Linked DNA regions of Coturnix japonica. The protein of the gene in region 2 purifies or fractionates together with the protein of the main gene of each other region. This does not show direct contact. Links are inferred from orthologs where the notes say so. Each region holds a gene or a part of one and is shown on either strand. Other genes may lie near its edges.

The links. The genes of interacting proteins can lie anywhere in the genome.
Region 1: the proteins of RAB11B (region 2) and PI4KB purify together in Homo sapiens (co-immunoprecipitation; 3 studies listed by BioGRID and IntAct, with this or other methods). This does not show direct contact. The link is inferred for Coturnix japonica from reciprocal best matches to the Homo sapiens genes RAB11B and PI4KB.

The regions. Positions count from the first base shown.
Region 1 is NC_029540.1:2,287,088-2,290,738, forward strand, and holds part of PI4KB (phosphatidylinositol 4-kinase beta), read right to left. Parts: intron 3,441-3,651; coding exon 3,396-3,440; intron 614-3,395; coding exon 386-613; intron 260-385; coding exon 32-259; intron 1-31. UniProt on the Homo sapiens protein: Phosphorylates phosphatidylinositol (PI) in the first committed step in the production of the second messenger inositol-1,4,5,-trisphosphate (PIP). May regulate Golgi disintegration/reorganization during mitosis, possibly via its phosphorylation.
Region 2 is NC_029543.1:321,962-326,073, forward strand, and holds the start of RAB11B (ras-related protein Rab-11B), read right to left. Parts: upstream 2,867-4,112; 5' UTR 2,852-2,866; coding exon 2,637-2,851; intron 2,354-2,636; coding exon 2,160-2,353; intron 1,767-2,159; coding exon 1,686-1,766; intron 1-1,685. UniProt on the Homo sapiens protein: The small GTPases Rab are key regulators of intracellular membrane trafficking, from the formation of transport vesicles to their fusion with membranes.

The DNA of each region.
Region 1 (3,651 bases), on a different chromosome or scaffold from region 2:
GGGGTCTCTCTGTATGGCAGCACAGCCTCACCTCCACCTGCAGCTCCACGATGTCATCCACAGACCAGGCCTCGTCGTCGTTGTCGTAGTTGGGGACGGTGGTGAAGCTGCCTGTCCTCTGCTCAGCTGTGATCCCACACTCGGGGAGGTTCTCAGCCGACCGCGTGCTCCGGATTCGGTTCTCAGGGATCCTCGCTGGGACATTCGCTGTGTCGAAATTGTCACATTCAAGCACTTCCACGTAGATTAAATAGGGAGCCTGGAGGAAGCAAAGTGATGTTATGGGGCTGTTTGAGCGCAGAGCTGCTCTCTGGCCTCATGGGGTGAATGCTGAGCAGAGGGGGATGCTCAGAGAGGACCAAACCTTCTACACCCCAAAGCTCACCTTGTCCTTGGAGTTGAGCACCACCGCCTGCGTGTGAGGCACCCTGACCACGTGGTGGTCGAAGCCGGCCGTGGGCAGCCATGCGCGCGCAGGCAGTTTGTGGTTGAGCAGCGACAGCTCCGAGATGAGCCGCTGTGTTTTCTGCTCTTTGGTGGGCAGCGTGGCCAGGCGCTTCCCGATGGCCATCAGGGATTTGATGAACTCCCGCTCGGGTGCCAGCCTGACGGGCTGCAGGGGAAAGGAGGGCACAGAGTGAGGAGGGCTGCGGGTTGGGCATGCTGCTCATTTAGCTCCAGAGGGAACACTGCTCTCCCCATCCCACCCTGCGCTCCGATATGGGATGATCCAACGCCTCTCCCTCCCATCACAGACCCAGAGATCCCCTCCTGGAGCCCCATCAATCCCCACATCCACCCCACAGCTCCGGGATCCCACACAGCACAGCTCTGAGCCCCCTCTGTATCCCAATCATCAGGCACAGATCGAAGTGCAGCTTTGTGGCCCTCATAACCCGCAGGTGAAGGGCAGCCTTCGAAAGACAAAGTTCCCAATCAATCAGCACAAGGAGTGATTAATGGCTGATTTTTCGCCACGAGAAATGCAGGACTGAACTCACACACAACGTGCTCACTGCACAACCATGCAGGAAATGCACATGCAACAAGCAGCGGTGCATGAGAGAAGGCAGCAAAACAAAAACTGGCCAAGAGCAAAGGAAAGAAATGGTGGAAGAGGAGCAGCACTGCTCATTCCCTTTGGGAGGGGGCAATGGGAATGCAGTGTAGTCCTCATCTAAACCCCCCCCAGCCAGGGCTCAGCCCCACTGCTGCCCAAGGCACTTCTGCAGCCTTTGGGGCCATTCTGCTCTGTTGGATCCCATTTCTTCCCAGAGCAGAATGATGTCCTGGAGATGTTCTGCTCCTTCCAGCACCGCTTCCCTTTCTCTCCCACCGCTCTGCTATGGAATGTCTACAATCCAGGCTGCACAGCTGTGGGACTGGATGTGTGCCCACCCCGTGGGTCACTGTGGAGGCTACTTGGGACCAGGCAGCACTCCCAGCTGCCATTGTGCAAAGTCCAACCCAGTCCAGGCTGGGATCAATCCATGCAGCTCCAGCAGAGGCCCATCTTCCCCATCACTTTCAGCCCTGCTCCCCCCAGACCCCACAGCTCCTTCCCCTGATGCCAGCAGCACTGCACTGCTCCTCAACCCATCCTCTGCCATTCATGTTCTGGATGGAAACATTCAGCTCTCAGCTCCTCTGACCACAAACACGTGGCCAAGGACAGCCCTCCCCAGCCCATCTGCTCCAAGCACATCCCCCAGCTCAGCACTGCTTGGCATTATTGGGATTGAGATGAGGTTCTTCCCTCAGTCCTCCAAATCCAGGTGCCAACCCGAGATGTTGTATTCTGTGAGCCCACCCCCCCTTTGAGCCAACAAGGTGTGGGTCCCCCATCCTTCCCCATTGGTAAATTTGGGATAAATGCTTGCAAAGAGCCCAGGTGGCTGCACTTCTGCTTCAGATAAAGGAGCAGGGCTTGCACAGCCTGGAAGGAAAGCTCTCCTGGCTGAGGGTGCTCCTGCTATTGGCTATGGCTGCCTGGGGCTGCAGGGCTGGCACCATCCTGAGCCCTGAAAAGCAAAGGGAGGGCAGATACAGCAGCATCAGCCAACCCCCCACTTCCCTCCCAGCCTCTAGCGTGGACTCCTCACCTCCTGCTGTGCCTCCAAACACCGAGATGGAGGAGATCCCATAGGATCACTGAGGTTGGAAAAGACCACTAAGATCATCATGGCCAACCATCAGCCTACCCCCACCACTGTGCCCACTTATAGGGTCACTGAGGTTGGAAAAGATCCCTCAGGTCACCACATCCAACCCCAACCCATCCTCCCCATGCCCACTATCCACGTCCCTAAAAAGGACCACGCAGTCTTTAGGGTTGGAAAAGACCTCTGAGATCACCCAGTGCCACCCCATCCATCCCGCTCTGCCCAATTGCAGCACCACTGAAGTTGGAAAAGATCATTCCAGATCCCAACTCATCTCCCCAGCCCCCCTCACCATGTCCCCAAGTGCTACATCTCTGCCATTCTGCATTAGTGACCCCACCGCCTTCCCCTTCCAATGTACCAAGAAATACTTCCTAATATCCAACCTGAAAACAAAACCCCAAAGAGGAGAGCCCACATCTGAGCAGGGTTGGTGGGGGTGGCACAGCACTGTGCCATGGGTGCACTGCTGCAGGTTTGTTTCCTGCTCTCAGCAAAGGATTCTTGAGCTCCAGAGGAATATGAGGAGGGGATGGGTGCCCATGTGAGGTGCTGGGGATACCCCAGTCCCATCCTCCCCCTCCAGTTCCTACCCTGAGGGCTGTGGATGTATGAGGCATCACTTGCTGCTGCCCAGGGCAATGGGTTTGAGCATGGACTACATATTGGGATCCCACTGTAAATCCCAACCAGGGAACACGGAGAGGAGGAAGAGGAGGATGGAACAAATGAGAAAGATGCGATTGGCTCCAAACTGAAAGAAGGCTCACAGCAAAAGGAGGCTCTGCTGGGGGGTGCTGGGTTGGATTGACAGCCCAAAGTGCAACGCAAGGAGGGGGGGAAATGATCCGTGGAAGAAGCAAATGAAACCCCAGCTAGCAGAGGATTTTTGTTTCAAATAAGGACAAATTCAAGGAAAACAGCATTTCCTCTTTTGTCTGCAAACACTGTGACACAAAGGGCAGCGCGTGGCAGGGCAGGACTCACAGCTCAGTGGGAGGGGAAGCCCCCTCCATCGTGCCCACTTTGGTTTGGTGATGAGCAGCCAGGTCCAACCCCCAGCTGTGGGTTTGTTTGATCCCCAAATGGGGCAGAAAGCCTTTGGTGTGATGTCGGGGTCAGCAGTTACGTGGGGGTCGGTGCTGTGCGGCCGCAGTGGGGTTTGGAGGTGGGGGAGGCAGAGGAAATGCTGCTGTAGGACGGAGGGCCCAGGAGCAGAACAAAACCACTTACGGAACAGAATGAGTTATCAAGGCTTTCCGTGCTCGAGGAGAGCTCCTGGGAAATGGATGGAAGGGGTTTTGGTGGCCATTTTTGGGTGGTGGCAGCGCGGTCAGAGAGAGGAAGGAGGGGGGGGGAGGAGGAGAAAAAGCAGTAGTTTAGCTCCAGGTTCATCGCCATCACTTTGCATTTCTTGTTTCACTTTGCCCCCCATTGCAACACTGCTGCCTTCCATGCCGGGCTCCAAACCCAAGGGCTGGCATCCATA
Region 2 (4,112 bases):
ATTCAAGCTGTGAAAGGGAACCAGCTGTGCAGTGTAACGTCTGGGTGGCTTTCCAGCTCTGCCTGGAAGACCTAAAGGTTTCACCCTTCAGCTCCCGGTGAGCCGTCCCTACTGAAGTACAGGACCACCCGCTCCTCTCCGTTACAAATCAGTTTCCCCATCCGTGGCAGTAAAAATGAGGTTCCACGCAGCCCCACATTGATCTGCAAATGCCATCCCCGACAGAATTCATTTCATTGACTCCAAATAACTCATGCCTGAAAGCACAGATTCACCCCAGCTGTTAAAGGCAGCGTCCAGGTTAGAAGCTTTCAGAAGGAAACCATTCCACCTGCAGCGCCAGTAGAAATAAGTGGAAATATTTCTATTGCGCTGACTGTAGGACCTCATTCCAACTTCCCTCCATTGTGAGACAGGAAAAGGGCAAGCACCTCCCTGGAAGCCTGCAGTAAATATTATGGTCACATTCAAGCAGTCACAGCCGCAGGACAGGAACAGCCAAAGCCTTTAACAAGGGTTTTAAATGGTGGGGAATTGTAGGGTTTGGGCTCTTTGGTTTTTTTGTTTTGATGGAGCTCCAGTTCTGGCTCCATCTGTTACACAGGCAGCACTGAACTCTCCTAGAAAAACCTCTGGCCATTTTCTGTACCCAGAGTCAGGCTCAGAACAACACAACGAGGGAAGACAGGATGGATGGTGATGGCTGAGCCACGCTCAGGGCACTAAATCCACCGATACCATCTCAGAGCAGCACACGAGTCACCTCAGATCCAGCCAAGTGTCACAGATAAGCAGCACCTGCTCTCAAGGCCACCCTGCACAAGAGCTCAGGCTGCAGCTGCTCTTCTCTACAGCTCTGTCTCAGCAGCAGTATTCTCCAGTTACTTCTCCAGCAGCTCAACCCAAATCTTGCTGGGGAGCAGAACGTAACCCACTCTTCATCCATCAGGCTTTTTTACTCATAGAAGCAGCTTGACTACCCTTTTTTTTCCTCCTGCCCACCTCCTCTTGGTCATCTTTAACTGTAACACACCTCTGTGCTCACAGAGCTGCTCAGACCGACACCACAGCTCCTGCCTGTTTACCTCCACACTCTGCAAAACAAACCTGAAAGAGCCTTCAAGAATTCACCAGGTCAAAACTCAGCCATTTCCCCAGTAATAGGCTCTCATTCACATATAATCAAGGCACAGCAATAATAACCAGTTCTCTGGTCAGCGTCCAACAAGCAGCATACATCAGACACTTCCTGACAACCGAGCAGTACCAGAACAAAGGCTCATTCTCATTTAAGTTAAATCAGCATCTTGTCACCAAAAAACAAAAAATGCTCAGGAAATGCCCTTCTGGAGACGTGGTGGGACGTGTACATCAGGCACAGCTCCACAGAACAGTGCATGAGGGTGAGAATACAGAAATAGTTTATCCTCCCAGAATTCAGCTATTGAACCATAAAACTCAGGTAATGGGCCCACATCACTCTCAAGGAAAGAGAAAGTTCCCCATGCGTGTGGGTGGGGAAAAAGGTGCATGGGGTGGGGGTAAAACAGAGGTAAGGGGAGGCAGACTGCAGACATATAATCATTCCCAACACTCATTTCCAAAACAGTCTCAATAACTGCAAACTGTGCCCATGAAGAAGATTCACTATGTGGTAGGTCCACAGAACCCATAACAAACCATACCTGTAAGGATGTTCTTGAAGGCTTCTTCTACATTTGTGGAATCCAGAGCAGAAGTTTCAATAAAGGACAGGTTATTTTTTTCTGTAATAAATAACAAGTGGTTCAGTTAGGAACTCTATGCTCTCCATAGAACCAGGCCTCTAGGAATGAAGGACAGACACTCTGCATTGTGATATTTGACACTATATGAGGTATTTTCTCCTCTGAACATTTCCTGCTGTTTTTCAGCCTTCCCAGAGGAACTGTTTATGCTTCAGGTATCGGGCAGCTCAAGGATGCTGTTTTACAAACATGTGCTACCAACAGATTCAACAAGAAAAAACACCATCCACTATTTAACAAGCCAGCTACGAAACCTCCAATTCCCCTTTTTTTTCCCACATAATAATAAGCACAAGGCAAAAGTTAAATACTGGACAGTAGAGTGACCAGCACACTGAACTTGAGAAGCACCTGAAGGCCCCACATACCGACCTGCAAAAGCACGGGCCTCATCAGTGGGCACAGCCCTCAGGTGGCGCAGGTCGCTCTTATTGCCCACCAGCATGATGACGATGTTGTTGTCTGCGTGATCCCTCAGCTCCTTCAGCCAGCGCTCCACGTTCTCATAGGTGAGATGTTTGGCAATGTCATAGACAAGAAGGGCCCCCACAGCACCACGGTAATACCTGGGAGAACACAAAGGCACATTCCTTTAGAAAGGTCCAACAAACCCATTCAGAAAGCTGCGCTGATGCAAGTACTGCAGTTCTGTATGCTTTGTGTAATAACCATCCCCCAGAAATGAGTTCCAAATTCCAAATACTAATCAAATAGCATGATATTGTTACCTGATTACCTGGATCTACAGCAAGACCTGCCACAAGGATTCTGTCCCATCCAAATGCATTTCATTCAGTCCTTACCCGGAGATGTATCTGCCATAGTCCCAAAGAAAGACACGGTACTCACGCTGAAGTAATGGCACGGTATCTCTCCTGCCCTGCAGTATCCCAGATCTGTGCCTTTATCGTCTTCCCATCCACTTGGATGCTCCTGGTAGCAAACTCCACCCCGATGGTGCTCTTGCTCTCCAGGTTGAACTCATTGCGGGTGAAGCGGGACAGCAGGTTGCTCTTCCCCACTCCGGAGTCCCCAATCAGCACCACTGAAAGACAGGACATCATTTACCAGATGAACTCCCCACAGCAGCACTGTGCTGCCTGGCTGCTGCGCTGCTTCAGGCAGGGCCCACAGTAACAAGGGCGACGAGCTGCCCCTTGCATGCCCAGCCTTCTGTGGGATTTACTGCAGTTATTCCAGCCATCACCGTGCTCCCCACAGGAAGACATCTGATACTACAAACAAGCCAGAAAACAAAGCAGGACTTCACCCAACAGAACGAGTTCCAGTGGATTAGATGAGAAGTAGAAGACTGAAACTCTGCCTCCGCACAAGGTGTTGCCATGCTAACAGGAAAACATCAGTGCTCAGAGATTTCTAGGCCCTCCCGATCCATGCACAGCAGATTAGAGAACACCTCTCCCTGCACGCTTTCTGAATTAGCTCACCAGCATTCTCCCATGGCCACGAACTGGGCTGGTCCCTCTGTTATTTCAGCTTTGCTTTATTTTGTGCTCAGGCCATTGTTTCAGGCTCCAGCTTTGGCAGCTCCCACCCCGCTTCTCCCCACCCAGGACAGCTGGAGCCAGCTCCACGCAGTGCTCTGCCCTCCTAATGAACACACAGCTCGAGAAAGCACAGCTGCCTCTCCAGGTTGTACTCGTGTCTGTCCTCTGGCCTGTGAAGATGACCAGTTTCATGCATGAACTCTGCAAAAAGACCCTGGGTCATTAATCCATTGGCTGCAGGAAGAGAATTCAGGCGGTCCTGCTGCACTTTGCTAATTACCCCCTGTAATCCAGGTACCTTCAGTGCCTTCAGCTGCTCCATGCTCTGGCAGAGCATTTCTGAGATGTTACTGAATGCAGAAGTAATAAAGGCAGGCAACCTGATCCAAACTCAGCAACAAGTTCGTGCTCTCTCTACCTTACAATCAGCCTCTTGCTGCTCTCAATCAACTGTCAGGACTTTCTCTTTTAGCAGGGAGATCCAAAGACTGGAGACCCACGTACCTCTATGGGCACAGAGCAGGAAGATGCCTTTAAGCTTCTGGACCAAAGCAATCAGATACTGTGGAAATTCCTCAGTTTGGGAACGGGTTACTCAACAATACAGCCTGTTCAAATGCAGATGGAAAAAGAAAGCCCCAAACCAAAAGCAAGAGCCCAAATCCATACTACATCCATCAGAATACATGAAATCACACCCCTTCCACGGCCTTCGATCCCACTAATAAAGGCAAGGAACACTTGGAAATGACCCGAACCAACAAGTCAGCATCAGGTGGAGCAGTGCAGCACAAGGCACGTGCCATGTCCAGCCTAC